Linked DNA regions of Anolis sagrei. The protein of the gene in region 3 interacts with the protein of the main gene of each other region in a pairwise test. Links are inferred from orthologs where the notes say so. Each region holds a gene or a part of one and is shown on either strand. Other genes may lie near its edges. The genes, in order: CLOCK, EPAS1, BMAL2 and NPAS2.

Region 1 (7,731 bases), about 18 Mb from region 3:
TGTGGACTCAGATAACCCAGTTCAAAGCAGATATTGTGGGATTTTCTGCCTTGATATTCTTTTTTCAATTGTTTTTACTGAGAATAAAAGTTGTTCTCAAGAAAGTAGAGCATAGTGAAATACTTGCTTTTGACCATTTAAGAAAAAGGTAACATGGTTACAGTGGGAATAATGTGATATAGAAAGTAGGAAGTGGGGGTGGGGGGAGAGGAAGAGAAAAAAAAGAAAAGAAAAAATGTGAAGGGGAAGAGATGGGGGGGGGGGGATGGTATACTTCTAGGACCCCCAGAGTAGCAACTTTTCTTCTATGTTATTCTGGGTTATATATGACTGTGTAAAGGACCCTTTGATTGCAATAAACAACATATTTTAAGCCTGTTCCTGGGGTTATTTGAGGTGCTGATTCAGAAAATTGCATTGGATAGACAGCATCTAGTTTCTCAGGGCCTTTCTACACTGTCATATAAAATCCAGATTATCTGCTTTGAACTAGTTTATATGACAGTGAGGACTCAGCCCCCTTCCACACAGTTGTACAAAATCCACACTAAACTGGATTATATGGCTGTAGGGATTTATATAATCCAGTTCAAAGCAAATATTGTGGATTATCAGCCTTGATATTCTGGGGTTATATGGCTGTGTGGAAGAGCCCTCATATAATCCAGTTCAAAGAAGATATTGTGGATTGTCAGCCTTGATTATCTGGGAAAATATGGCTGTGTGGAAGGGCCCTCATATAATCCAGTTCAAAGCAGATATTGTGGATTATCGCCCTTGATATTCTGGGGTTATATAGCTGTGTGGAAAGGCCCTCAGATAATCCAAAGCAGATAATATGGGTTATCGGCCTTGATATTCTGGAGTTATATGGCTGTGTGGAAGCGCCCTCAGATAATCCAGTTCAGAGCAGATAATTTAGATGATCTGCTTTTATAATCCGATTAGTATACGGCAATGTAATAAATAATCATAATAAAACTTTATTTATACCCCGCTACCATCTCCCCAAGGGACTCGGTGTGGCTTACATGAGGCCAAGCCCCCAGTATATCAATAAACAAAAGCAATAACAAAAACAGTCAATACAATACAATTAATATAAATCACATAAACAACAAACCATAACACACAAGCATGTAAAAACCTATGGCCAGGCCAAATGTAATAGTTTAAAATAATAAAAAAAACAACAACACTGGGCATGAACAAGGTAGGATATAACTGGTATAGGGTTTTCAAAGAGAGATGAGGGAACCACAGTCAGTCCTAAATCTGTGGTAAAGTGCATTTGAGGGCATATTGCTGAGAGTTTTCCTTATTCTGGGAAGGCACACTGGAACAACCACCTTTTCAAGCTCCACTGGAGGGAAGGATACTAGAGACAAAGTTGAAGTACTTTGGCCACATCATGAGGAGACAGCAAAGCCTAGAGAAGACAATTATGCTGGGGAAAGTGGAAGGCAAAAGGAAGAGGGGCCGACCAAGGGCAAGATGGATGGATGGCATCCTTGAAATGACTGGACTGACCTTGAAGGAGCTGGGGGTGGTGACGGCCGACAGGGAGCTCTGGCGTGGGCTGGTCCATGAGGTCACGAAGAGTCGGAGACGACTGAACGAATGAACAACAACAACCTAAAGACTGCCAGGGTTGGGGCATGTCTGATGTCCTTGGGGAGTGAGTTCCAGAGTCGGGGGGCCACCACCAAGAAGGCCCTCTCCCCCATCCCCACCAATCTCGCCAATGTAAACAGGGCGTTGTAATTTTGGGAATCAGCAAGTCAGACTCAGAAAGAGGTCGAAGATTTGAGGCATTTTTAGGGCTCTTCCATAGAGCCATGTAACCCAGCATATCAAGGCAGAAACTCCCACATTTTATGCTTTGAATCAAATCAAATCAAATCATTTATTTTGGTCATTGACCAGCACAGGAAATAGTCACATTTTCATACAAACTTGGTATGTTTGGTACATTAAAAATATAAATATAACTACTGAAGCACAATATGGGTGAGGGAGCAGAAGGGAAGATGCATTGGATGTTTTTACCCTGCTTCCCCTTCCCTTCTGCTCCCTCACCCATATTGTGCTTCAGTAGTTATATTTATATGCTTTGAACTGAGTTATCTGGGGGCCCTTCCACACAGTCCTATATCTCTGACTATCAAGGCAGGCGATCCCACATTATTTGAGTGTGGACTCAGATAAGCCAGTTTAAAGTGGGATTTTCTGCCTTGATATTCTGGGATATAGGGCTGTGTGGAAGGGCCCTGAGTCCACACTGCCATATATCCCAGTTCGAAGCAGAAAATGTGGGATTTTATTCAGCTGTGTGGAAGGGGCCAAAGTGTGTGTTGGCGGGAATAGACTGAGAGTAAATAAGCAGTGGATTTGCGTATAAATAAGCGAAGGAATGGATATTCCTGGCGCTCTTCTGGCAGATCCAATGCCCTGGATTCCCTCACAAGGGGGGAACAAGAAGGGCATCCCTCCTTACCTGCACTGACAGCATGTCAATGAGGAGCTGCCAAGCCCACCGCCCTCGTTCGGGGTGCCTCAATTTCGGGAGACCTTCGGGATCCTTCATTGCCGCCCAGGCAGTCAGGCAGGCAGGCTGCCACCGAGAGGGAAGGCACGGGCAGGCCTCCTCCTCCTCCCTCTCCGCCCTCGGTCTCCGTTATGAAATCCCGTCCCTCAGGTCAAAGTTTACCTCAGAGCCCCTTCACCGCCTCAACACACACAGCCCCTTCTCCCTCAGCGAGGCCACGGCCCCCACCCTCCTTACTGCCTCAGTCGCGTCTCGCGCTCTTCATCCTCTTCAGCCGACTCCCCCCGCTTTCGCCGAGCAAATGGTTTCGCCTCTCCCTTTTCCGATGGTAACAACCACCAGGCCTGTGGAAGGAGGGGGGGGGAGGTGAAATTGCCTTCGGCTGCACCGCGCATGCGCCACCCTCGAGTTTACCGGCAAAACAGCAGCAGTAGCAGCCGCCAAGCTCGGAGAAGCCGTACTGCGCATGCGTCACTTCCTTGAGGGACAAACCGCAACGAAGCCCTCCTTGTGTTTCCCTGGCCGCCGCCGAGCATGCGCAGTGGCGTCATACTCCAACGCGGGGGTAAATGGTGATTCCCCTTCTTCGTCAAAAGTGGCGGGCGGGGAGGAGAGGGAGGTGGTGGTTGCTCCGCGCATGCGCCGCCGGAGCCGCCCCGAGGGGTGTGTTGCGCATGCGTCGCGAAAGAACACGCTGTTCTTGCCTGACCTTAGATTACCTCGCTGGAGAGTGAGAGTGGGTTGGAGGGGAGGGAGCAGGGAGGGAGGGGAGGTTTGGCCACTCAAAGGGAAATCCTCCCAGGTTTTGTTCCATGGTTTAGGGCTTCCTTTTCCTCTTTTGTCAGGATTTGAAAGGAGTGCTTCTGATCCACAACTTTATGAATAGACTAGCTGTCCCCTGCCACGCGTTGCTGTGGCCCAATCTGTTGAACTCAAAAATAAAGTAATGAGAAAGTGCTGGTTTCTAATATATGTAATTTCTTTATGCTTGTGGGTAAACAGTATTTCTTGCTGTTTCTTTGTCAGTGTTGATGTGGAGAGTGTCTGGTTTGCCCACCCTGGAACATGCAACATATTGTCCTTCTTTAAAGGTCCCTTTCAAATCTATGATACTATATCTCTCTGTGTTAATCATATCTATCAATCTATCTATATCTATGGCTGGATGGCTCTTTGTCATTAGGACTTTGATTACGTTTTTTTGCCCTGGTGAAGGGAGTTGGATTGGATGGCCTTAAGTATTTTCTGTTGGTCATGGGGGTTCAGTGTGGGAAGTTTGCCCCGATTCTGTTGTTCGTGGGGTTCAGAATGCTCTTTGATTGTAGGTGAACTGTGAATCCCAGTGACTACAAATCCCAAATGTCAAGGTCTATTTCCCCCAAACTCCATCTGTGTTCATATTTGGGCATATTGAGTGCTTGTACCAGGTTTGGGCCAGATCCATCATTGTTTGAGTCCACAGTGCTCTCTGGATGTAGGTGAACTACAATTCCCAAACTCAAGGTCAATGCCCATCAAACCCTTCCAATATTTTCTGTTGATCACGGGAGTTCTGTGTGCCAAGTGTGGTTCAATTTCATCGTTGTTGGAGTTCAGAATGCTCTTTGATTGTAGGTGAACTATAAATCCCAGCAACTACAACTCCCAAATGACAAAACCATAATTTTTTGAGTGATGGTCACTCCTTGTGTTGTGAGACATTTTGTTGCCAAATTTTGTGTGTTCATTGGTTCTTTTGTTTTTAAGGTACTCATTATGCACAGAGCATTTATATATATATATATATATATATATATATATATATATATATAGATGTTGGTTTATTTTGTAGATATAGATGTCAATTTATGTGGATGCTGGTTTATTTTAGGACTTGGTCAGGTTGGTACTGTACTTGTATTTGCATTTATGCTCTTGTCAAGGCATTGAATGTTTGACTTTTGTTTGTTGGAATCCGCCCTTTGTGTTTTTAAATACACTACAACTGTACCCTTGGTTTGCTTCTGACATGATAAATACATAAATATCTGATTCCAGCCTTCCCACCCCGAAGGGGACTCATTATTATTAGTATTATTATTATTAACTTTATTTGTACCACTCTAGCATCTCCCGAAGGACTCTATGCGGCTTACAAAGGCCAAGGCCACAATAAAACAACAATATAACAATTACATATAATGTCGAAGGCTTTCATGGCTGGAATCACTAGGTTCTTGTGGGTTTTTTTTTCGGGCTGTAGGGCCCAAAATGCCTCTAGAACATGGCCCTATAGCCTGAAAAAACCCACAAGAACCTAATTACATATAAACCAAAAGCAAATCAAAAACATTAAAGCAATAACAGTAAACGGTAAAAACAGCACACCTTGACACAATAAAACTAGGCCGGGCAAATGTACTGGGCACAGATTAAAAAGTGCTGAGTATGCTGAGCCAGGGAGCAATCACCGAGAAGGCCCTGTGACCAGTAGCGCCTGTGACAATGGCGGGACGGAGAACAGAGCCTCCCCAGAGGATCTTAATCATGATGGTTCATAGGGGGGATGCATTCGGACAGGGTTTTATGTAATATAAATTATATTATATTTATCTAACATATATATATTTATATATATCACATTCATTCATTTATACAGATTTGATTGTATTTGTAAAGTTCAATAACAGTTCATTTCACTGTCTGCATTTGTTTATGTTTTTATGTGTTTCATTCCATGCGATAGATAGATAAATAGATAGATGCAATAGAGAAAGGGGTGTCTTAAATGATCCACTCTGGGTATCAAAAATGCTAGATATGCCATTGAATCTCCTTGCCCCCTACTTGTATCTTTAGTTCATAGAAAATATTTTCGCAGTAATTATGATTGTGAAACTTTTTAAAAATATTAAAAGCCTAAAGCAGACATGGTTTATTGCTGAATTCAAAGATGGTAGCTTCACAATAGACTCTCTTACACAAGAAGGCATGCTTTGGCTGTCCTGAATACATGTTTTGTATTTTATTTTGAATGACACTCCTATGATTTCCCACAAAACAGATGTCACTGCTCTAGAACGATGTTTTTTTCCAGCATTCATTCATTTATGTGAAGAATCAGCAAAGCCTAAGAAATTAAGCATGCATAATGCAACACGTTCAAACATTAGGCCTTGTTTCAAAATGTAAATATTTTATTCCTTGTAGAACTTTTAAGCCTGGCCACACACATGGCTTAAGAATTATTTAAGCCTGGGTATGTATTATCTTATTTTCTTAAGGAGCTTCACATAGAATTTATTGGACTATATAAACATGTATAAAATGAATATGCTATTCAGTAGAAAAACGTTGTCTTTAAATATTTGCAACAAAATACTGTGAAATAGAGTGAAAGTGAGTGCTCAGTTGATATTGGCCTGCAAATCTCATCCAACGTAATAATTTGACCAGTGTTCAGGAATGATAGGAGGTGTAGTGCAACAACATTAGGAGCCCACCCTTCCTTCACCTATGGCATGAAGCACAAAATGGAAAGCCCTTCAAATATTCCAGATACCTTCTACCATCCCTTTCCACCGGCTATGCTGGTCAGTGCTCATGGTAGTCCACCTCTAGACTGATGTGGAAAAAACTACAAATGTAATGTTTTATCAGAAGGTTAGAGATCAGAATGCAGCTGGGAAATACCAATTGATTTCAAAGGGAATTTGCCTAATGTCGTTACAACAATAAAGTCTGTCATAATTGAATATACAGGGCATCCCAAAAGTCTCCATACATTGGAAAAATTAAATTAAATTAATATAATATAATAATATATTTAATTAAAAATAAATATATTATATTATATATGTATATGCTTATATGTTTGTATACTTTCAGATATACAACATGCAGAGAGTATGTTGTCAATATTTTATAAAATTTGTAGTGAAAATTTTGTAAATAAGGGCATATTTAGCTGCAATTTTCCTTATGAAGGGAGACTTGGGACATCCTATAGAATAGTACTTCTCTCACAGTTTATGAGCTATTGGGGCAACTGAGATATAGCTATTACTTTGCATGTCTATTATAAATCAAATCACTGATAGATGCTTGCATTCCTCCCTGTGTTACACAGGTGTCTATTCTTTTTGCTGATATATAGGAAGTGACATCAACCCATATGATACTCATCAATCCTTCATCCCATCCATGTTATGACTGATGGACGTAAGAAAAATCCCTGAAACAACATAATTCCCTAGAAACCCATTATCTCATCACTGAGTTACTACTGAGGATGCAATTGAGCACAGAATGCCAAGAAACAAGATTAACTGACATATCCTCAGAGTTTAAGCCAGTTGGTCTACGCATCCCTGCCAGAATGAGTGGAGGATTGTGGGAGCTGAAGTCATAATAACACTATCTAACAATTTTTTTAAAAAAATGTTCCTGGTTTGAAAGTGTTATTTCTGTTTAATTGTGTCGTACCTACTTTGAAAGTAGTTGTTCTACTCCAGAAACCTTGTGGCTGCCACAAACTAGGTTGAATTGGTTGAGACTCAATGAGATATTCATTGAAAAACTATAGCAAAATGTGCTGTAGAATGTCTCACAAAACAAAGTTTTTGCAGTTTAATACATTTTCCCATGACAGAACCAATTAGAAAATTGCATTTATAACCCAGGAACAAAAGTTTTGTTACATAGGGTAATTTTTCCAAGAGTTGGTTATTCTGAAGTTTCAGCTGGAAGCAGCACAAACACAAAACAATCTATGGATAATGTCAAAGTGTATTATCAAAAGAGCATATAGTATTCCATTTACCAAAATCCCCAGTACATAGCTCAATTCAGTGGCACACAGCAAAATCAAGAGGAGGAGCCGCTCTCAAACGTAACAGTTCTAGGTCTGGATAAGGATTCCACTGTATATAGGCTTCAGGGATACATTCAATAAGAAAAATCATATAAACAAAGTAAGCATTGAGTCATGAGGCTATATGTAGACTGAAGACAATAATGAAGATGGAGCACCACTCTCAAAACAATCTTCATGGAAAAAATCCAAATCAAGTCCAGTGAGAATGGACCACTGCTTCTCAAAATAAGTCTTCAAAGGAAAGGTCCAAATGGCATTCAACAGGGGTTCCCGGGTATTTTTGTACCCTGTTTCGGTGAAAGCAATCCCCTTCCTCAGGAACTGATAA
Region 2 (8,091 bases), on a different chromosome or scaffold from region 3:
GGCCTGCCTGTTTTTAGCTTCTTTACATTTCTTATGTATCACCTAAGCGTTTTCTTGCAAAGCACCAGCATTGCCCTTGGGCCTGATTGTTCCTGTTCTCCAGTCCAGTCGACTCTGCTTTGCTTAAACTGTAATTCAAACCTTAGCCGGCATGGCAAGATCTCTTCGTCTTGGGCCAAACTGATAGACCTGGCCTTTGGCCGTGTGCCTCCCATTTAGCTAGTTGAAAGAGTCTTTTTTAACTTGCCGGACTCTGAAGCCTGACTGTTTATCCTAGCATAATCAGATATCGAGAAAGGAGATTTGAATTCAGCTGGTATCAGTGAAGATCCCAAGGGTTCTGTTAATCTAGGGAATGAGTGACCTGGTTCTTTGATCTTGCAATGTTCTTTCTATCATCTGTTAGATAAATGTAGGGATCCTTCATTGCCTGCACATGCATTGTGCTCAACTGAAGTTTCAAATATTTGCAGATTACCATTGTTTATATTCTATTACCCTACAATCAGATTGTTGCTTTGCTGGCATGTTGAACTCGCTTCAGAAGAGAAAGCAGAGGAGATTGGTACAATATGCTCTGGCTTGTTTCTGTTTAACAGGGAGAGCCTGGTCCCCTTCTGCTTATATAGGAAATGTAGAGACGCTGATCAAAAATTGGTTAGTATGGGTCACTTGATGTTTCCTTCTGAGGTTTCCATTTCTCACCCTTTAGTCTTTAGAAATTAAATAAATGCGGATTTGCTCACGGTTTGTAAATTCTATTTTATATGCATTGACTCAGATTTTAAAATGCAGTATATTTCAGTGTAGTGAGGAAGGTACGAATCCAGCCTCAATGCAACTAGAGTAAACCAGCTGACTCCATGGAATACAGTTGTCCCTCCACATCTACGGTTTTGACTGTTATGGATTTGATTAAAAATGTTGGACTCAAGTGTCTTAAGATCACTTTTAGGTATTGTTGATGGGCAAGATTTCTGTGTACCATTTTTGTAGATTTTTTTTAAAAAAAATAGGATTTGGGCTTGTTGTTGTATGGCATCAAGTCATTTCTGACTTCCAGCAACCCTAAAATTATAGGGTTTCTATGGATTCCTGTGGTCAAGTGGGGTTTTGAACACTAGTCTCTCGACCACACTGAAGAATTAATGCAATCTAACACCACTTCAACTACAATGGCTCTATGCTAGGGAATTATGGGAACTTTAATTTTAAAAGGCCTTTAACTTTCTTTGGTGCCTCACCAAACTAGGATTCCATAGAATTGAACCACCTGAGTTAGAATGATGCTTTTTTATCTAATCAGAAGCAACTTGAGAACATACTGCAAGTTGCTTCTGGTGTGAGAGAATTGGCCATCTACAGATGTTGTCCAATGGAGCCTCGGATGTGTTACCATCCTGCTGGAAGGCTTCTCTTATGTCTCCGCAAGCTAGAGCTGACAGATGGGAGTTCACCCCATCTTGCAGATTTGAACCGGCAACCTTCAGGTCAGCAACTCAAACTTCAGGTCAGCAGTCCAGCTGTAACAAGGGTTTAACCAGGCAATGACAAACTTTGGTCCTCTAGGTGTTTTGGACTTCAACTCCTTCAATTCCTAACAGCCTACTTGCTCTCTTAGGAATTTTGGGAGTTGTAGTCTAAAACACCTGGAGGGCCAAAGTTTGCCCATGCCTGGTTAAACCCATTGTGCCATGCTAAACTGCATAAATTCTACAGTATAGTTGCACTCAATGTGGCCACAAAGGCTTTCAGAGGCAAGAATTAAGTAATTAAGATTGACACATTATTCAAATGGTCTAATTTAGTTGGGAGTTAAAGTGTAACGAGGCACCTGCACTCATTGGCATAGGTTTGGACCATGGATATGTACACACATACTTTAAAATTAATTGAAAAATCTTGGGGATTTATTTATTTATTTATTTGCTGTATTTATATACCGCCTTTCTTAGCCCGAAGGTGATGCAAGGCTGTTTATATTCAGCACAATTCAATGCCCCCAAAAACATAAAATACAATTTAAAACAGTAGCATATAAAATATAGATTCATATAAAATCAAAAGCATGTCCTTACTGAAATTATTATGGCTGAGGACACATTTTCCTTCACCCTCGTTGTTTACTATTGGCAACTCACTCAAAAACACCAAGTTGCCAAGCGAGTTTGGCATTCTGAATAATAGCTCAGCCTTAAGGCTAGTCCTGCTTTAATCTCTCTCTCAGTTTTCCAAAGAATTAAGGGAAGTATATAGTACTTAACAGAGAGCCAGCATGGGGTTGTGGTTTGAACATTGGGCTACAACTCTCAGCCTCAGAGGAAAGGAAAGGTAGACTCTCTCTGAACAAATCTTGCCAAGACAACCCTATGAGAGTGGTTTGCCTTAGACTGGAAACAAAGGTAGTGGGTTGTTGTGAGTTTTCCAGACTGTATAGCTATATTCCCAAAGCATTCTCTCTTGATGTTTCGCCCATATCTATGGTAGACATCCTCAGAGATTGTGAGGTCTGTTGGAAACTAGGCAAGTGGGGTTTATGTATCTGTGGAATGTCCAGGGTGAGAGAAAGTACTCTTGTCTGTTTGAGGCAAGTGTGAATGTTGCAATTGGCCACTTTGATTAGCACTGAATAGCTTGGCAGCTTCAAAGCCTGGTTGCTTCCTACCTGGGGTAATCCTTTGTTGGGAGGTTAAATTGGTTAGGATTCTATGAGATATTAATTGAAAAAAAATATAGCAAAATATACTGCAGGATGTCCTGGGGTAATCCTTTGTTGGGAGGTTATCTGGCCCTATGGAGCCCCCGGTGGTGCGGTGCGTTAAACCCCTGTGTCGGCAGGACTGAAGACCAACAGGTCGCAGGTTCAAATCTGGGGAGAGGCGGATGAGTTCCCTCTATCAACTCCAGGTCCTCATGCGGGGACATGAGAGAAGCCTCCCACAAGGATGATAAAAACATCAAATCATCTGGCGTCCCCTGGGCAACGTCCTTGCAGACGGCCAATTATCTCACACCAGAAGCGACTTGAAGTTTCTCAAGTCACTCCTGACACGACAAAAAAAAAACTGGCCCTGATTGTTTCCTGTCTGGAATTCCCCTGTTTTTTGAGTGTTGATCTTTATTTCCTGTCCTGATTTTAGAGTTTTTTTTTTAATAATGATAGCCAGATTTAAAGGTACACAACCTAAAGGTATATAACAACAACGTGCTAAACCCTCACCACAAGGCTAGTCCTCAAATCCACAACTTATCCAAAATAATCTGGGAAGCAATGTGGCTGAGCTGGAGTTTTGCATTTATTATTGTAAATACCCCTTTCTTATTCCAATATAATCTTGAAGTGGCAGAATCTTGACTTCTTTTTAAAATGCTCAATGTACTTTGCAATTTCTTTCCTGCACCTCATATTATCAGACCCGGGGAAAAGTTGCTTCAGCATTGTATGTAACTCCCACTCTGATCATACTGCCTGGGAGATTCTGAAGGGAGTTGCCAATATTTCATTTCATTTTAAATTTTTTCTTCTTCTAGTTTTGCTCTGCCTAACTTTCCAGAGCATTGACCCTGACTGAGTATCCACACTGCAGAATTATTGTATTTTGACACCACTTTTACTCCCAAACCTTCTACAAAATCCTGGAATTTGTAGTTAGTTCAACCTAGTTCAAAGCAGATATTGTGGGATTTTCTGCCTGGATATTCTGGGTTATATGACTGTGTGAAAGGGCCCTTAGTGAGACACCAGCCCTCTTGACCAGTGAAATAGCAATACTTAAAAAAAACATATCATAGGATCCTATATAGGGTGTGATAGGTATGGGCCCTTCAAGTGGTGCCAAACCCTGCAGTATAGAGTGCATTTGCACTGTAGAATGAATGCAGTTTGACATCACTTGAACTGACCTGGCTAAAAGCTATGGAATTATGGGACTTGTAGTCTGGTAAGGCACAGGACTTTTTGGCAGAGAAGGCTAAAGACCTCCTAAAACTACTGTACAGCATCAGTGATTCCTAGCACGGAGCCAGGGTAGTTAAAATGACTTAAAATTGCATTTATTCTACTGTATAGATGCACCAAAACACTTGTTGATCTCTAAGGCACTGCAAGATTTATTTGCAACTGAATTTAGCTATACTTTGTGTTTCCCTGTCAGTCTCTTTGGGGGGGGGAGGGGGGTGCTGCTGCTGCTATAAAACTCCAACTCCAGTGATTCTGTGGCCATGAATCAGCTCAAATGGAAGTCAAACTGCATTTATTCTGCAGCGTTGATGCACTATGACCCTCTTTTAATTTCTAAAGTGCTGCAAGATGCCTTTTGTCACTGTGTCTAAGGCGTTCTTGGCATTTTCCCTGCCGGTTGTTAGGAATGGTGGGAGTGGAAGTCCAAAACACTTGGCGGGCTGACGTTTGCCCGTGCCACTGCCTACTGTAGAGGCACCCTAGGTCCGGGCCTTTTTCCCCCGGGGGTGGGGGTCTCTGCTCCGGAGTGTGTGGTAGAGGAACCTTCTTTGGAAGCTTTTAAACAGAGGCTGGATGGCCATCTGCCGGGGGTGCTTTGAATGTAATTTTCCTGCTTCTTGGCAGGAGATTGGACTAGATGGCCCATGAGGTCTCTTTCAACTCTATGATTCTATGATGCTATAATGTGGGACTTTCTGCCTTGATATTCTGGTATATAGCGCTGTGTGGAAGGGCCCTAAGGCGCCCTTGGCGTTTCCCCTGCTGGCTGTTAGGAATGGTGGGAGTTGAAGTCCAAAACGCCTGGAGAGATGAAGTTTGCCCGTGCCACTGCCTACTGTAGAGGCACCCTAGGTCTGAACCTTTTTCCCCCCGGGAGTGGGGGGTCTGACCCATCCGGCTGTGCCTCCTTCGGCCCCTCCCTCGCTTTGACTTGCGATCAACAAGTGCTGCCAAGTGGCTGGAGGCGGGTCCGGAGGCGTGGGCTTTGCCCGCCCCTTGGAGGCAGCGCCCTCGGCGGCCTCTCCAGCTGGAAGAAGCGCCGCCTGAGGCTCCAGCCTGCCTCTGTCCTCCTGGCCGGTCGGCAGAGCCTTCCCAGGGCGACCCGTCCTCCCTTTCCTCCTCCTCCTCCTCCGTACATATACCCAGCGCCAAAGGAGGAGCGGCAGAAGCAGCCAGGAGCAGTGGCGGCGGGGAGCCGCGGCGCCCTTGCCTCCTCCCTCTCTCTCTCTCTCTCCCCTGAGCGGGCTGTACAATCCTCGGCAGTGTCCTGAGACTGTATGGTCAACTCAGGGGCGGCTCGACGGCCTCCTCCTCTTCCTCTTCCACCCCCGCCAAGCCCAGGAAAGGCAACCCACCCGACGGCAAGCGCGCAAAGAGCGCAACCCATCTCTTCTCCAAAGTGGTCTCCAAGCTTGGCGCGCGCGCTTTCTCTCTCTCTCGTGCGCCCTGACATCTTCCTCCCCAAGGATCCCGACGGACAGAAAGCCCCTTCCTCTCGGGGATACAGCGTGAGAGCATCCCAGCAAGCAAGCAGGAACCCCCGCTTCCCAGGATGACAGCCGAGAAGGAAAAGAAGAGGTAAGGGAGGAGGAAAAGAGAGCCAGGGACATCTTTGCGGGGACAAAGTTCTCGCGCCAGTTCTTTGAAAGCAAGGAAGCTCTTCCGCTGGTTGGATTCAGGAGGGACCTCTCCTTTTGCATCTCTTTCCTAACTCTTCCCAGTCCTTTGGAGCCAGGGAGGTTGAAGTGGGGCTGGATCTCTCTTTCCCCAATCCCAAATGGTCCAACAATGGTGCCTTGTTTGGCTCTACTTCAAGTCCTTTCCCTCTGCGTTCTGCTCCACTCACTTCTCTGAAGCGCCCAGGCTCGGGTCCATCTCTACAGTAGAATAGATGCAGTGTGACACCCCTTGAACTACCAAGGCGCAATGCTAAGGGAGCCTAGCAGTTGTGTTTCCCCAAGGTCTTTAGCCTTCTCTGCCAAATAGAAGTGGTGGTTCAATAAACTGCAACTCCCCAGATTCCAGTAGCACTAAGCTGCGTCAAACTGCACCCATTCTACAGGGTAGATCAGGCCTGGGCAAACCTGTGCCTTCCAGATGTTTTTGGACTTCAACTCCCAACATTCCTGAGGCCCATAAGCGGCTGAAGGGGGAAAGGAAGGAGGCCGAGGCTGTTAGGAATGGTGGGAGTTGAAGTCCAAAACACCCAGAGGGCCCAAGTTTGCCCATGCCTAGTGTAGCTGCCTGAACACTAGGAATTATTTAACTCGAACTGGATCTTGCATTCCAATATCTCAAATAGAGTGAGAAATGTCAGATCTTGGTGCTGTCCTTGCTGTGGCATATTTCGTGATCTAGAATCATAGAATTGGAAGAGACCTCAAGGGCCATCCAGTCCAACCCCTTGCCAAGAAGCAGGAAAATTGCATTCAGGGCACCCCCGACAGATGGCCATCCAGCTTCTGTTTAAAAGCTTCCAAAGAAGGAGCCTCTACCACACTCCGGGGGGAGGGAGTTCCACTGCTGAACAGCTCTCACAGTCAGGAAGTTCTTCTTGATGTCTCTTTTCTTGTCGTTTGAAGCCATTGTTCTGCATCCTAGTCTCCAGGGCAGCAGAAAACAAGTTCACTCCCTATGACTTCCCCTCACATATTTATACATGGCTATCATGTCTCCTCTCAGCCTTCTCTTCTTCAGGCTAAACATGCCCAGCTCTTTAAGCCACTCCTCATAGGGCTTGTTCTCCAGACCCTTGATCATTTTAGTCACCCTCCTCTGGACACATTCCTGTTTGTCAATATCTCTCTTGAATTGTGGTGCCCAGAATTGGACACAATATTCCAGGTGTGGTCTAACCAAGGCGGAATAGAGGGGTAGCATGACTTCTAGACACTCTACTCCTATTGATGCAGGACAAAATCCCACTGGCACTTTTTTTTTTTGCCTTCTTTAGCCTTCTCTGCTGAAGAGGGCTGGTGGTTCAACAAACTGCAACTCCCCCAAATTCCAATAGCACCAAGCGGCTTCAAACTGCATCCATTCTATGGTGTAGATCAGGCCTGGGCAAACTTGTGCCCTCCAGGAGTTTTTGGACTTCAACTCCCACCATTCCTGACAGCCTCAGGCCCACAAGCAGCTGAGGGGGGAAAAGAAGGGGGCTGAGGCTGTTAGGAATGTTGGGAGTTGAAGTCCAAAATACCTGGAGGGCCCATGCCTGGTGTAAGTGCACACTTGGACTGCTTTAATTTGAACTGGATCTTGCATTCCAACATCTCAAATAGAGTGAGAAATGTCAGATCTTGGTGCTGTCCCTGCTGTGGCATATTTGGTGACCTGTGGACTTTCAAAAAGTTTACTTCCACTTCTTGTTTGACTCAGGGCCCTTCCACACAGCCTTATATCCCAGAATATCAAGGCAGAAAATCCTACAATATCTGCTTTGAACTGGGTTATCTGAGTCCACACTCAGATAATGTGGGATTTCCTCCCTTGATATTCTGGGATATAGGGCTATGTGGAAGGGCCCTGACACTCTCTGCAATGCAACCCTGAAAGCCAACTAATAATCAATGTATTGTCGAAGGCTTTCATGGCTGGAATCACTGGGTTGTTGTAGGTTTTTTGAGCTATATGGCCATGTTCTAGAAGCATTCTCTCCTGACGTTTCGCCTGCATCTATGGCAAGCATCCTCAGAAGTTGTGAGACCTCACAACCTCTGAGGATGCTTGCCATAGATGCAGGCGAAACGTCAGGAGAGAATGCTTCTAGAACGTGGCCATATAGCCCAAAAAACCTACAACAACCCAACTAATAATCCCTTGCAAGAAGATTCAGTCCTTTAAGGATGTCCTCACTTTTAATCTCCAACAAAGTGTGGAAGGGCACTTCCGAACAGGATTGTATCATTTTCTTATAGTAGAATGAAGGTGGATGATGGGAAGGCAGCATCCAGTGTTAGATAAGAAGAGGGTACTCACACATTACATTGAATATGCATGTCAGTGCATAGTTTTGGTTGTTTTCTTGGCAATATGCATTCCAGTGTGTGTGTGTGTTTGTGTGATTGTTTTCATGAGGCTGAGAAAGTGTGACTTGACCAAGGTCACACAGTGGATTTCCATCGCCATGT
Region 3 (7,009 bases):
CATAAAAGAACAAAAGAATGTCCATAAGAATTAAAACTCCTCTAGTAACTGAACAAAAACAGAGAAAGGTTTACATCAAACCCAATGTGTTTTATATAATCATTTGCAAGAGCACTGCAAACCATCCTTTTATATGCCAACAAGCAGGAAGCGACGGTGGAGATTGTGAAAAGGACTAAAGCGGTGATTTAAAAAACCCCATAAAATGGATCACTGTTTCGGTTTTCCTTCAAATTGCATAGACTAAATAAAGAGGAAATTCTTGCTCATGTAGCTAAAAGAAGCAAATATTTAAAAATTGGGATGTACAAAAAAAGTGTCTCTATTGGGGATTATATTTCTTTTACTCACAATACAGTTTTGTCATAGATATTGTCTATAACATTGCCTTTTAAGCTATCTGATGTGGGAAGCCAGCATCACATACACGCTCTCTCTCTCTCTCTCTCTCTCTCGATGTACCAATGACTGGTACCATATTTGTGTTCAATGGCTACAAATGACTCGTGGTTGGCAACGGCCCATGGACCATTTCTTTGACTGGAATTCTCCCTTCTTCCATACACCAATGTTGAAGTATTCACATCAAATGACAAACAGGTCATATACAGTACATTTCCATATTGACTGGGAGTGACTTTTTGTACTCTACTGACCTTTGGGTCTGTATCTAGCGCTCTCCCTATTTTCAGAAGGGAAGATCTAAAACAGCCCTCCAGAATGTCCCTACACCAGGTTTTGTTCTTTAATAATAGATTACAATTTGAAAGTTAATGCAAGCAAAGCTCCAGTCAGAAAGCACTACAGGATCAAAGGAAACACAAACAAACCCTGACCTACTTTTTTGGGAAACAGAATTTGCCGGCACAATTTTGCTAACGCAAAATAAAACAGAAGTGACGAGTACAAAAGACTCATCTTTGTGTCTAAAATTGGAAGACCAGCAGCCATATTCAGAAGTGTGAAGACAATGTGCCTTTCAGCATTGTTTCATGAACCACCTGAAGTATATATCGGAAAAGAATGGAATACTAAAGCACAAGAAAGATGATTTAATCAATCTGACATAATATAGTAAAAAATAAAATGTATGTACTTTGGTCCATGGTTACCCAAAATGCAAACAAAAAACAAAACCTATTCTTTAAAAACCTTGTGTAGATAGAATAAAAAAACATTTTGCTCATACAGAAAACTTTAAATATCAGTTAAGGTGTGCACGCAAAATAGGTCAAAAGGTAAATGATATCAGCATTTAAAATGAAATTATACATAATGGAAAAAAATCAAATCAACATGCCCTATGTATTTCTTCCAGCTTCCTGCCGACATACGGTTACCCATAAAATTTTATAGAGTTCTTAGAGGTAGTTTTGCCAGCCCTTTCCCCCATGACCTTCTGGCATACAAACTAGTCAAATGTGGGCTAGGCAAAACTATGGTTAGGTGGATCTGTAATTGGTTAAGCGAATGAACCCAGAGGATGCTCACCAATGCTTCCTCATCATCCTGGAAAGAAGTGACAAGTGGAGTGCATCAAGTTTGCAGATGACACCAAATTGGGAGGGACAGCCAATACCCCAGAAGGAGCAGAATTCAAAACGATCTAAGAAATTATTGCAGTGGTTCTCAACCTGTGGGTCCCCAAATGTTTTGGCCTTCAACTCCCACAAATCCTAACAGCTGGTAAACTGGCTGGGATTTCTGGGAGTTGTAGGCCAAAATACCTGGGGACCCACAGGTTGAGAACCACTGGATTAGAGAGATGGGCCAAATCTAACAAAATGAAGTTCAACAAATGCAGAAAAAACGAAATGCAAAGATAACAGAATGGGGGACACCTGGATCGACAGCAGTATGTGTGAAAAAGATTTTGGAGTCCTCGTGGACAAGTTAAACATGAGCCAACAATGTCATGCGGCAGGAAAAAAAGCCAATGGGATTTTGGCCTGTATAAATAGGAGTGGTGTCCAAATCCAAGGAAGTCATGCTACCCCTCTATTCTGCCTCGGTCAGATTCTGGGCACCACAATTAAAGGGAGATGTTGATAAGCTGGAATATGTCTAGAGGAGGGCGACTAAAATGATCAAGGATTTGAAGAAAGAGCCCTATGAGGAGCGGCTTAAAGAGCTGGGCATGTTTAGCCTGAAGAAGAGAACACTGATGGCCATGTATAAATATGTGAGGAGAAGTCACAGGGAGGAGGAAGCAGGCTTGTTTTCTGCTACCCTGGAGACTCGGACACATCCTTCTCCATCAATTTCGCTGGAGTGGCCACATTGTCCGAATGCCTGATCAACATCTCCCCAAGCAGTTACTCTACTCTCAATTCAAGAATGGAAAAAGGAATGTTGGTGGACAGGAAAAAATATTTAAAGAGGGGCTTAAAGCTAACCTTAAAAACTTGTGACATAGACACCGAGAACTGGGAAACCCTGGTCCTTGAGTGTTCCAACTGGAGGTCAGCTATGACCAGCAGTGCTGTGGATTTAGATATAGAGAACACAAGGAAGGAAGGAAGGAAGGAAGGAAGGAAGGAAGGAAGGAAGGAAGGAAGGAAGGTGCCGCCTCACCTGGGGCTCCGGGTCTCCCGCTGGCCTCCTCAGCTCCTGCCGCCTCCGCCATGGCCCGCTCCGCAGAGGCAGCAGGAGCAGCAGCCGCGGCCCGCCACCCGCCGCCCGCCGCAGAGGCATGGGGAGGGCAGGCGAGAGAGAGAACGAGGTGCTCCGGCAGCGGCCGCCGCCAAGCGAGCCCCTGAGGGAGGGAAGAAAGAGGGAGGCCGGGTGAGAGGCTACACTTCAGGCTGAGGAGGAAGCGCCCGGCATCTCGCGAGAGTTGCGTTGGCCAGAACACACCCGGGGACCCTTCGTAGAACAGTTCCTTCCGAATGCCTCAGCTTTGGACGAGAGGATTCTGGGAACTGAACTCTCAAACACTTGAAGGAGTCGAGGCTCGCGGCTTTCTTCATGTTGGGAGGCTTCCCGGGGAGCGCCTCCCTCAATCCCTGCCTTCTCTCGGCAGGCACGTGCGCCCGCGGCACGCGACCCGTGACGCGCCAAGCTCCGCCCCTCCTCCTCACCCACTGACCCAGATACGAGGCCGCGCGCCGCCGCCGCCTTGGAGCAAGCGCGCGCTGACTCTGCGCCTCAGGTTCTCGCGCCCACGCTCTTCATTAGCGGCGTTGCTTCAAAGGCCCTTCCCAAGCTTACTTCGCCAAACATTGATGGGGCGTCCAAGTTCCAGATACCTCCGCCAGGATGGTCGGGGAGGGAGGGGGGGCTTGTAGTCTAACCAATATCTTAGGCCCCTTTTACACAGCTGTATAAAATCCATGATAATCTGCTTCGAAGTGGATTATATGGCAATACACTCACATAATCCCGTTCAGAGTAGATAATGTCGATTTTGTCGAAGGCTTTCATGGCCGGGATCACTGGGTTGTAGGTTTTTCCGGGCTATATGGCCATGTTCTGGAGGCAATTTTTCTCCTGACGTTTCGCCTGCATCTATGGCAAGCATCCTCAGAGGTACTGAGGTCTGTTGGAAGTAGGAAAAATGGGTTTATATATCTGTGGAATGACCAGGGTAATGTTTCAGCTGATCACCTTGATTTGCATTCAATGGCCAGGAAGCGCCTGGGGGGAATCTCTTGTTGAGAGTGAATTGATGTGCCTGATTGTTTACTCTCTGTTGTCGATTTTATTTATCGTGTCAGGAGCAACCAGACATTTGTATTACATTTTTAACAAAACAATCAGCCAAAACAAAGTTTGCAAGCTTGGTAGTTGATTAAATGTCCTTTGACCAGTAGCTGGCCACTTGGCGTGCTTCCGGTGTTGCTGCAAGAAGGTCCTCCATTGTGCATGTGGCAGGGCTCAGGTTGCATTGCAGCAGGTGGTCAGTGGTTTGCTCTTCTCCACACTCGCATGCCGTGGATTCCACCCTGTAGCCCCATTTCTTAAGATTGGCTCTGCATCTCGTGGTGCCAGAGCGCAGTCTGTTCAGCGCCTTCCAAGTCGCCCAGTTTTCTGTGTGCCCAGGAGGGGAGTCTCTCATTTGGTATCAGCCATTGATTGAGGTTGTGGGTTTGAGCCTGCCACTTTTGGACTCTCGCTTGCTGGGGTGTTCCAGCGAGTGTCTCTGTAGATCAGTGTTTCTCAACCTGGGGGTTGGGACCCCTGAGGGGGTCGCGAGGGGGTGTCAGAGGGGTCGCCAAAGACCATAAGAAAATACAGTTTTTTCTGATGGTCATGGGGATTCCATGTGGGAAGTTTGAGCCAGTTCTATCGTTGGTGGAGTTCAGAATGTTCTTTGATTGTAATGAACTATAAATTCCAGCAACTACTACTCCAAAATGTCAAGATCTATTTTCCCCAGACTCCACCAGTGTTCACATTTGGGCATATTGAGTATTCATGCCAAGTTTGGTCCACATCCACCATTGCATGAGTCCACAGCACTCTCTGGATATAGGTGAACTACAACTCCCAAGCTCAAGGTCAATGCCCATCAAACCCTTCCAGTGTTTTCCATTGGCCATGGGAGCCAAGTTTGGTTCAAATCCATTGCTGGTAGAGTTCAGAATGCTCTTTGATTATAAGCAAACTATAAATCCCAGCAACTAGAACTCCCAAATTACAAAATCAATCCTCCCCCAACCCCACTAGCATTCACATTTGGGTGTATTGGGTATTTCTGCCCAGTTTGGTCCAGTGAATGAAAATACATCCTGCATATCAGATATTTACATTATGATTTATAACAGTAGTAAAATGACTGTTTTGAAGTAGCAACAAAAACAATATTATGGTTAGGGGTCACCACAACATGAGGGACTGTATTAAGGGGTCACGGCATTAGGAAGGTTGAGAAGCACTGCTGTAGATCTTAGAAAACTATTTCTTGATTCAATTCGTTGATGTGCTGGCTGATACCCAAACAAGGAATGAGCTAGAGATATCACTGCCTTGGTCCTTTCACTATTGGCTGCTACTTCCCGGCGGATGTCAGGTGGTGCAATACTGGCTAAACAGTGTAGTTTCTCCAGTGGTGTAGGGCGCAGACACCTCTTGATAATGCGGCATGTCTCATTAAGAGCCACATCCACTGTTTTAGCGTGGTGAGATGTGTTCCACACTGGGCATGCGTACTCAGCAGCAGAGTAGCATAGCGCATGGGCAGATGTCTTCACTGTGTCTGGTTGTAATCCCCAGGTTGTGCCAGTCAGCTTTCGTATGATATTGTTTCTAGCGCCCACCTTTTGCTTGATGTTCATAAACAGCATAGATGCTGTTGCTAGTACTAGGGCATTCGAGCATGACCTCAAACTGCTTGAGCAGATGTACACAACTAGTATGAAGCTGAGCCTCCCCATCTCCATAGAAACACCCCCACAGCAACCCCGGCAGTCCTCTGAAAATGGTGATATAGAATCATTTTGAGTGAACAGAGGAGAACTGATGTATTTGGATTCTGTGGTATTTCTGGGGCTAGAGTGGGGGTAATTTGAGGTGTTTTCGTTCGCTTGAATGGAAGAAATTTCCCCCAGATTGCATTGAGGGATACATGGAAGGCTTTGAGGCCATATGTGGTTCACAGACTGCATTACGCCCACCCTACTTTATAGCTAGAGGGATCTACCATCTTTTTTGTAGAACAGTTACTCTAAGGAACACTTTATCCAGGAAAAAATTGACAATCGGTTAGGGATCACTATGTAAACGTTAGCTGGTGTTACTGACCATTATCAATATACTGAAACTGGTTATGTGTCATAACATATCCAACACAAATACATTCACAGACCAGGGCACTCTTTCCTTGGTGCCTTCTAGATGTGTCGATCCACAACCTTCATGATTCACCAGACAGCACAGTATAATGTATTATCAAAGGCTTTCATGGCCGGAATCACTGGGTTGTTGTAGGTTTTTCCGGGCTTTATGGTCATGTTCTAGAGGCATTTTCTCCTGATGTTTCGCCTGCATCTATGGCAAGCATCCTCAGAGGTAGTGAGGTCTATTGGAAGTAGGAAAATAGGTTTATATATCTGTGGAATGACCAGGGTGAGACAAAGGACTTTTGTCTGCTAGAGCTAGGTGTGAATGTTTCAACTGACCACCTTGATTAGCATTTAATGGCTTGGAAGTGCCTGGGGGGAATCTTTTGTTGAGAGTGATTTGTTTGTTTGTTGAGAATGCTAAGTTCAGCAAAGGACAAGAGGGATCCTCTCACCTCTGCAGGAGTCTACCGTATTCCATGCAGCTGTGGAGAAGTCTACATAGGGACCACCAAACGTAGCGCCCAAACACGAATCAAGGAACATGAAAGGCACTGCAGACTACTTCAACCAGAGAAATCAGCCATAGCAGAGCACCTGACGAACCAACCTGGACACAGCGTATTATTTGAGAACACAGAAATGCTGGACCACACTCACAACCACCATGTCAGACTACACAGAGAAGCCACTGAAATCCACAAGCATGTGGACAATTTCAACAGAAAGGAAATAACCATGAAAATGAACAAAATCTGGCTACCAGTATTAAAAAAACTCAAAAATTACAACAGCAAAACAACAGAGAGTAAACAATCAGGCACATCAAATCACTCTCAACAAAAGATTCCCCCCAGGCACTTCCAAGCCATTAAATGCTAATCAAGATGGTCAGTTGAAACATTCACACCTAGCTCCAGACAAAAGTCCTTTGTCCCACCCTGGTCATTCCACAGATATAAAAAACCATTTTCCTACTTCCAACAGACCTCACTCCCTCTGAGGATGCTTGCCATAGATGCAGGCGAAACGTCAGGAGAAAATGCCTCTAGCACATGGCCATATAGCCTGGAAAAACCTACAACAACCCAGCACAGTATAGCTGGCCATGGGATTATGGAAACCATAGCACAACATATCTTGAGGGCAGTGAATTGGCCAAACCTGTGGCAGGTGAAAGAACAGGGCTCCAAGCCTTTATTTTCACTTCCCCAACAGTAGTTGCCACT
Region 4 (7,211 bases), on a different chromosome or scaffold from region 3:
TAGCCCGAAAAAATCTACAACAACCCATGAAAGCCTTCGACAATACAATCCTATACACACTTGAAATATACACACATACACAACAGGAATTATTCCACAGCAGACATTCTCTAAATCAAGGGAAGAAAAAGATTCAGCAAAATGTGATTTGGAAGCCATGGTGTAATTCACAAGTAGCTTCTGGACAAGTGAAGAAAGCTTAGTAAAGGGAAACCAAAGTGGGAGCACTGAGGCAATGATTCAGCTCCTCCCTGCCACTTCCAACTGCAGTTATAGCTCACAAACTCTGGACCCTCATTCTGCCTGCTTACATGGTCCGGGAGCATCTTCATGCAAAACAGAAAATCCAATTAATATTGCAGAAGGTTTGGAGATGTGGCCTCTTTTTTGTGTGTGTGGGAGAAAATCATGCTGGAAGCATCGCAAACGATGTTTCCCTCTTATATAAGACACTTCTGAAAGTTTCTGGTGTAATATGAAAAGACCAGAAACATTTTCTATTCCCTTTCTTGCCTTTTATTTGCAGACATAGAAATGCTAATATCTAACCGTTCAATATGTTAAAACTATGTTTGCATTCCATATACAGTACCTGTCTTGCATGGGAATTTTACCTGCAGCCAGAGGCAAACAGGCTTGCAGAAAGCAGCATGCAGGAGGGGAAGGTGATCGTTTTGCCCCATAGTTTGATCCTAATGAAAGCTGTCACAGACACACACCATTTGCTATTTTCTACAAGAAGGAATTGGTTGTTGATGTCATTTACTGCTTCTCTTCCATGGCAAATAGAAGCTTTTTTATTGGGGGGTGGGGTTCTATTGTGATCTCAGCATTGACAGGTAACCCTCCATGGACCTATATGTGCATATATATGTTTAAAAACCCAAATAAATCAAATGTGATTATTTTCAATGTTACATTTAGAAACTTAGGATTAAGAATTAGTGCCATTTGACACCACTTTAAGTGCCCAAAACACTATGGAATCTTGGTAGTTTTACAAGGTCTGTAGCCTTGTATGTCAAGTTGTCTGTTGCCTTATCAAATTACAACACCCATGATTCCACAGGACTGAGCCATGAATTAATTCCGCAGTGTAGATGCATCTTGGTCACCTATTAACTATACGGAATGGAATGGAGGTCTTTGTATTACACCTATATGTAATGAATCTGAGTTTACAGGTGTTTTTGAATCTGCATCTTTGTATACTATCTGTTTACCTCAGTTTCCAAGGTGCCTAACAAAAAGAAGCAAGATGTTCAACAGGGACCAATACAAGATACTCCACTCAGGCAGAAAAAAATGATATGCAAAGATACAGAATGAGGGACACCTGACTCGACAGCAGTACATATGAAAAAAAGCTTGAAGTCCTCATGGATGGACAAGTTCAACATGAGCCAATAATGTCATGTGGCAGCAAAAAAAAAATCCAATGGGATTTTGGCCTGCATAAATAGAAGTCTAGTGTCTAGATCCAGGGAAGTCATGCTACCCTATTCTGCCTTGGTAAGACCATACCTGAAATACTGTGTCCAATTCTAGGCACCACAATTGAAAGGAGATGTTGACAAGCTGGAATGTGTCCAGAGGGGGGTGACTAAAATGATCAAGGAGAACAAGACATATGAACAAGCGGCTCAAAGAGCTGGGCATGTTTAGCCTGAAGAAGAGAAGGCTGAGAGGAGACATGATGAGGGCCATGTATAAATATGTGAGAGGAAGCCACAGGGAGGAGGGAGCAAGCTTGTTTTCTGCTGCCCTGGAAACTAGGACGTGGAACAATGGCTTAAACTACAAGAAAGGAGATTCCATCTGAACATGAGGAAGAACTTCCTGACTGTGAGAGCCATTCAGCAGTGGAACTCTCTGCCCTGGAGTGTGGTGGAGGCTCCTTCTATGGAGGCTTTTAAACAGAGGCTGGATGGCCATCTGTCGGGGGTGCTTTTATTGCGATTTTCCTGCTTCTTGGCAGAGGGTTGGACTGGATGGCCCACGAGGTCTCTTCCAATTCTATGATTCTAAGAAAAACTTAGTGAGCTTGAGGGTAATATTATAACATTAATTCTTCAAACTCCTTCAACTCAAGTCAGATTCCATGGTCTTGGATGTGGAGACAGACATTGCACCTGGAGAAACTTCAGCCCATATGTTATGTGGGCTTCTCTGCTGAGATGTAAGGCAGAGAATTAACTTCATTCTCAATTTAGCTTTCATATGTTGAGTTCTGAGGCACTTTTGTGTGTGTGTGCCTTCAAACTGCCTTGTGCATATGTGCCTTCAGAGATGGTTTGCCATTCCTTCTGAAATACAGCTGTCAGGATCCAGCACAGTCTTCTTTGGAGGTCCCCTGGCCAAGGACTAAGCCATGACAGTTAAAGTATTTTGTTTTGTTTTTTACGTCAGGAGTGGCTTGCAGTTTATCGCTTCTGGTGTGAGAGAATTGTCTGTCTGCAAGGACGTTGCCCAGGGGACACCTGGATGTTTCGATGTGTTACCATCCTGTGGGAGGCTTTTCTCATGTCCCAGTTAAAGTGATGTCAAAACTATATTGATTCTATGGTGTACATGCATCCTCTGTTTGGCACTAAAATTATAAAACAGGTGTGCAGACTTCAGTTGGGGGCGCTTTCCTTGTGGATGGCCCTTGTGGTCTCTTCCAACTCTTATGTTTCAATGGTTCTACTTAATAAACATTAAAAAGTCATTCTGGAACCAAATTTCAAATCTTTCAAAACTGTGTCTTGGAGCACTTTGAATTTTTAAACACATACATACTGTGAACATTTTAAAAAATCTGACAGGCAGACATTTATATTTAGAAACAAATGCCCGTCTAAGCAGTTTAGACTCCAGAAAGTGTCCTCTGCACCTGCCTGGAAAGGGAACACAGGTTTCCAACCAGGAGGCATCTACACTGTGGAATTAAGGCAGTTTGACACCACTTTTAGCTGCCATGTCTCAATGCCATGAAAGCCTGGCAGTTCCTAACTGCATAAACAGGAGTATTGTGTCTAGATCCAGGGGAGTCATGCTACCCCTCAATTCTGCTTTGGTAAGACCACACCTGGAATCACACTGTGTCCAATTCTGGGCATCACAATTTAAGGGAGATGTTGACAAGCTGGAATGTGTCCAAAGGAGGGTGACTGGCTTAAAAGCAGTACATGTGAAAAAGATCTTGGAGTCCTCATGGACAACAAGTTAAACGAGCAAAAAATGTGATGCGGTGGCAAAAAAAGCCAACGGGATTTTGGCCTGCATCAATAGGAGTATAGTGTCTAGATCCATCTATTCTGCCTTGGAATACTGTGTCCAATTCTGGGCACCACAACTGAAAGAAGTTGACAAGCTGGAATTTGTGCAGAGGAGGGCAACTAAAAGGATCAAGGGTCTGGAGAACAAATCCTATGAGGAGCAGCTTAAAGAGCTGGGCATGTTTAGCCTGAAGAAGAGAAGGCTGAGAGGAGACATGATAACCATGTATAAATATGTGAGGGAAAGTCATAGGGAGGAGGGAGCAAGAAATGGCTTCAAACTGCAAGAAAAGAGATTCCATCTGAACATGAGGAAGAACTTCCTGACTGTGCAAGCTGTTCAGCAGTGGAACTCTCTGCCCCGGAGTGTAGTGTTGGCTCCTTCTTTGGAGGCTTAAACAGAGGCTGGATGACCATCTGTCGGGAATGCTTTGAATGCCATTTTCCTGCTTCTTGGCAGGGGGTTGGACTGGATGGCCCATGAGGTCTCTTCCAACTCTGTGATTCTAGTTTTACAAGGTCTTTAACCTTCTTTGCCAAAGGGTGCTGGTATCAAAATGCCCTCATTCTCCACTATAGATGCACCCAAGGTCTGAGGACAGCGGGCTCAACCAAAGTCCTGAACTCCCTGGGTGAACTCTGTCTCCTGCAAGTGTGCGTTGCCCGTGTGCGCTGCCTTCTTGCCGACGGCTCTCCGGGCACACCTCGGAAGGGCTCGCTCGGATCTCAAGGCCGGCCCCAAATTCCTCTTCTCCTTCGTGTGGAATCCGCCCCCGCCTCCTCCTCCTCCTGGGAAGGAAGGGGAAGGTCAGGTCTGTTTGGCAAAATAATATGTAGGTCAGTGGAGCGCTTCCTGCCCTTGTGCAAAAACAAGAGGCGGGAGAGAAAGAGAGGGAGAGGCCGCGCGCTCTTTTTCCCGCGCAGCTGCCTTTGGTTCTCCTCCTCCTCCTCCTCCCCACGCGCCAAAAAAGAAGCCGAAAGAGCCCACCCTTCAGCCCACCTTCTCTCGGGAAGGGAGGAGGAGGAGGAGGGCGCGCGAAGGAAGCGCCTTGCCTCCCTGACCCCATTTCGCAGCTCCCTCTTGGCCGGGAGCCTCCTCAACCCAGAGAGCGAGAGAGAGAGCCCCACGCAGAGAGCATGTCGTGAGGGAAGCTTCCTCCGTGGCTCGAAGAGGATGCCCCCTCCTCCGCAGACCCCGGGGCAGCAGCCACTTTGGAGGCGAAGGGCCCCCGCGGTCTTCGTCGCAACTTAATGCCCGGCCCCGGCTCCGCTCTCCCTTCCCGCCAGAGCTGAGGAGGGAAGGGAGCGGGCAGCGTCCGGCATGCGGGGCTCCCTCACACCATGAGAGACCGGCGGCGGAGTGGCGGAAGCAGCAGCAGCAAAAAAGAAGGCGCCTCGGAGCCCCCCGTGCCTTTGAAGAGGGAGAACTCGGCCAGCCGGCAGCGCGAGTGGGAGACCCAGGGCGGCGGGAGTCCGCGCGCGCAAGTGGCCACCGCGGATAGCAGCAGCAGCAGCGGGTGCAGCAACATCAGCATTAGCAGCAGCACTCCCGCCGCCCCGCTTTGGCCTCGCGCCCTGGCCGCGCGCGCGCCCCTCTGCCCTCCCGCCAGGCTCCTCAGGTAAGCCAGCCCCGCGCGCGCCTGGCACAGTGACACACTTCAGCCTCCTCCTTCTCCTCCTTCCTCTGCCCGCGCTAGGGGGCGCCCTCGCCACCGCTCCCACGGGTGGCCCAGGTTCACCTCCCCGCACTCTTCGCTTCTCTGGGTCCTTCCACACAGCCATCTAACACAGAATATCAAGGCAGGAAATCCCACAATCTCTGCTTTGAATTGGAATATATGGCAGGGTGGACTCAGATCACCCAGTTCAAAGCAGATACCTATTGTGGGATTTTCTGCCTGGACATTCTGGGTTATATGGCTGTGTGGAAGGGCCCTCTGAAGAGAGAGGTCACCAAAAGGGTTAGAAAAGGCTGTCTTAGGAGGAGGCCCCTTCCACACTCTGGATTATATGCCAGTGTGGACTCAGCCAACCCTGTTCAAAGCAGATATTGTGGGTTAGTAAAGGGAAAGGTTTTCCCGTGAACAGACGTGGCCCTAGGTAATTTTCAATGGTAAGCAAACAGTATTTTGGTCCCCGCCCAACCAATCACTGATATATATTTTCTGTTCGTGTGGGAGTTCTATGTGCTATATTTGGTTCAATTCCATCATTGGTGGAGTTCAGAATGCGCTTTGGTTGTAGGTGAACTATACATCCCAGTAACTACAACTCGCATATGTCAAGGTCTATTTTCCCCCAGGAGCACCCCAAGAGCCCCCCTGGGCAAAATCAACTATACTGCAAATGCTTACTTTGCGTAATGGGTTGAGCCACCCCTGCCTGTGAAGTCCAGTCATGTCTGATTCTAGGGGGTTGGTGCTCATCTCCATTTCTAAGCTGAAGAGTTGTCTGTAGATGCCTCCAAGGTCATGTGGCAAGTATGACTACATGGAGCGCCTTTACCTTCCTGCCACAGTGGTACCTATTGATCTCACATTTGCATGTTTTCAAACTGCTAGGTTGGCAGAATCTGGAAGCTCATGCCACTACCCTGATTCGAACCTGCAACCTTTCAGTCAAGAAGCTCAGCAGCTCAGTTGTTTAACCCACTCTGCCACCAGGGGCTCCCAATTGTGGATCATCTGCTTTGATATTCTTGGATATAGGGCTGTGTGGAAGAGCCCTTAGGCCCCCTCCACACAGCTGTATCAGGTCCACTGGATTATATGGCAGTGTGGACTCAGCCAGCCCAGGGCCCTTCGACACAGCCCTATATCCCAGAATATCAAAGCAGAAAATCCCACATTATCTGCTTTGAATTGGGTTATCTGAGTCCACACAGATAATGAGGGATTTTCTGCCTTGATATTGTGGGTTATAGGGCTGTGTGGAAGGGTCCCCAGTTCAAAGCAGATATTGTGGATTTTCTGCCTTGATATTTTGAGTTATATGGCTGTGTGGAAGGGCCCTCTGAAGAGAGAGGTCACCAAAAGGTGGAGAAAAGGTTGGCTTAGGCCCCCTACACACAGCTGTATCAAAACAACTGGATTATATGGCAGTGTGGACTCAGCTAACTCAGGTCCCTTCCACAGAGACATATTACTCAGAATATCAAGGCAGAAATTTTCACAATATCTGCTGTCTGTGAACTGGGTTATCTGAGTCCATACTGCCACATATTCCAGATCCGAGCAGATAATGTGGGATTTTATTCGACTGTGTGGAAGGGGCCCCATTCAAAGCAGATATTGTGGATTTTCTGCCTTGATATTCTGGGTTATATGGCTGTGTGGAGGGGCCCTTTGTTGCAACATAACACATAGTTTCCAGCAGAACACAATAGACGTGACCTGCGTATCAGTATAGCAGTGGTTCCCAACCATTGGTCCTCCAGGTGTTTTGGACTTCAGTTCCCACAGTTCTTAACAGCTGGAATCTGGCTGGGAATTCTGGGAGTTCAAGTCCTAAACTACTGGAGGACCAAAGTCTGGAAACCACTATTGTACAGCATCACTCCTCAGAGCACTAGTCCCTGGACTAAGCCTGGAACCACTGCTTCTGACCTGTGGTCAATTGTTAGGAAAGAGTTAGGAGATAGGACACAAGTCCCATTTTCCCACACCACAGAGCCTGAGAAGTAGGTGCTTGTGTTGCCTGCTGCTGCCGAAAAGTATGGCAAGCCTAAAGTGACACCATCACAGGGTTTTCTGGGGCAGAGAGTATGTGACGTGCCCAAAGTCACTCAGCAGATTTCCAGGGCTGAGTGGGGGTTCAAAGGCTAGTCTCCTGGCCCCTTCCACACAGCTGTATAAAATCCCACAGTATCTACTTTGAACTGGGTTATATGGCAGTGTGGACTCGGGGCCCTTTCGTATCAAGGCAGAAAATCCCACAAAATCTGCTTTGAAC

Evidence for each region.
Region 1: the proteins of BMAL2 (region 3) and CLOCK interact in binary tests that used the Homo sapiens proteins (3 or more experiments, as listed by UniProt). The link is inferred for Anolis sagrei from reciprocal best matches to the Homo sapiens genes BMAL2 and CLOCK.
Region 2: the proteins of BMAL2 (region 3) and EPAS1 interact in binary tests that used the Homo sapiens proteins (3 or more experiments, as listed by UniProt). The link is inferred for Anolis sagrei from reciprocal best matches to the Homo sapiens genes BMAL2 and EPAS1.
Region 4: the proteins of BMAL2 (region 3) and NPAS2 interact in binary tests that used the Homo sapiens proteins (3 or more experiments, as listed by UniProt). The link is inferred for Anolis sagrei from reciprocal best matches to the Homo sapiens genes BMAL2 and NPAS2.

The regions. Positions count from the first base shown.
Region 1 is NC_090025.1:73,607,888-73,615,618, reverse strand, and holds the start of CLOCK (circadian locomoter output cycles protein kaput), read right to left. Parts: upstream 3,082-7,731; 5' UTR 2,963-3,081; intron 2,950-2,962; exon of another isoform or gene 2,786-2,949; intron 2,759-2,785; exon of another isoform or gene 2,498-2,758; intron 1-2,497. UniProt on the Homo sapiens protein: Transcriptional activator which forms a core component of the circadian clock.
Region 2 is NC_090021.1:26,973,160-26,981,250, reverse strand, and holds the start of EPAS1 (endothelial PAS domain-containing protein 1), read left to right. Parts: upstream 1-4,990; 5' UTR 4,991-5,513; coding exon 5,514-5,539; intron 5,540-8,091.
Region 3 is NC_090025.1:91,982,606-91,989,614, reverse strand, and holds the start of BMAL2 (basic helix-loop-helix ARNT-like protein 2), read right to left. Parts: upstream 3,064-7,009; 5' UTR 2,627-3,063; coding exon 2,575-2,626; intron 1-2,574. UniProt on the Homo sapiens protein: Transcriptional activator which forms a core component of the circadian clock.
Region 4 is NC_090023.1:103,383,852-103,391,062, forward strand, and holds the start of NPAS2 (neuronal PAS domain-containing protein 2), read left to right. Parts: upstream 1-4,195; 5' UTR 4,196-4,601; coding exon 4,602-4,879; intron 4,880-7,211. UniProt on the Homo sapiens protein: Transcriptional activator which forms a core component of the circadian clock.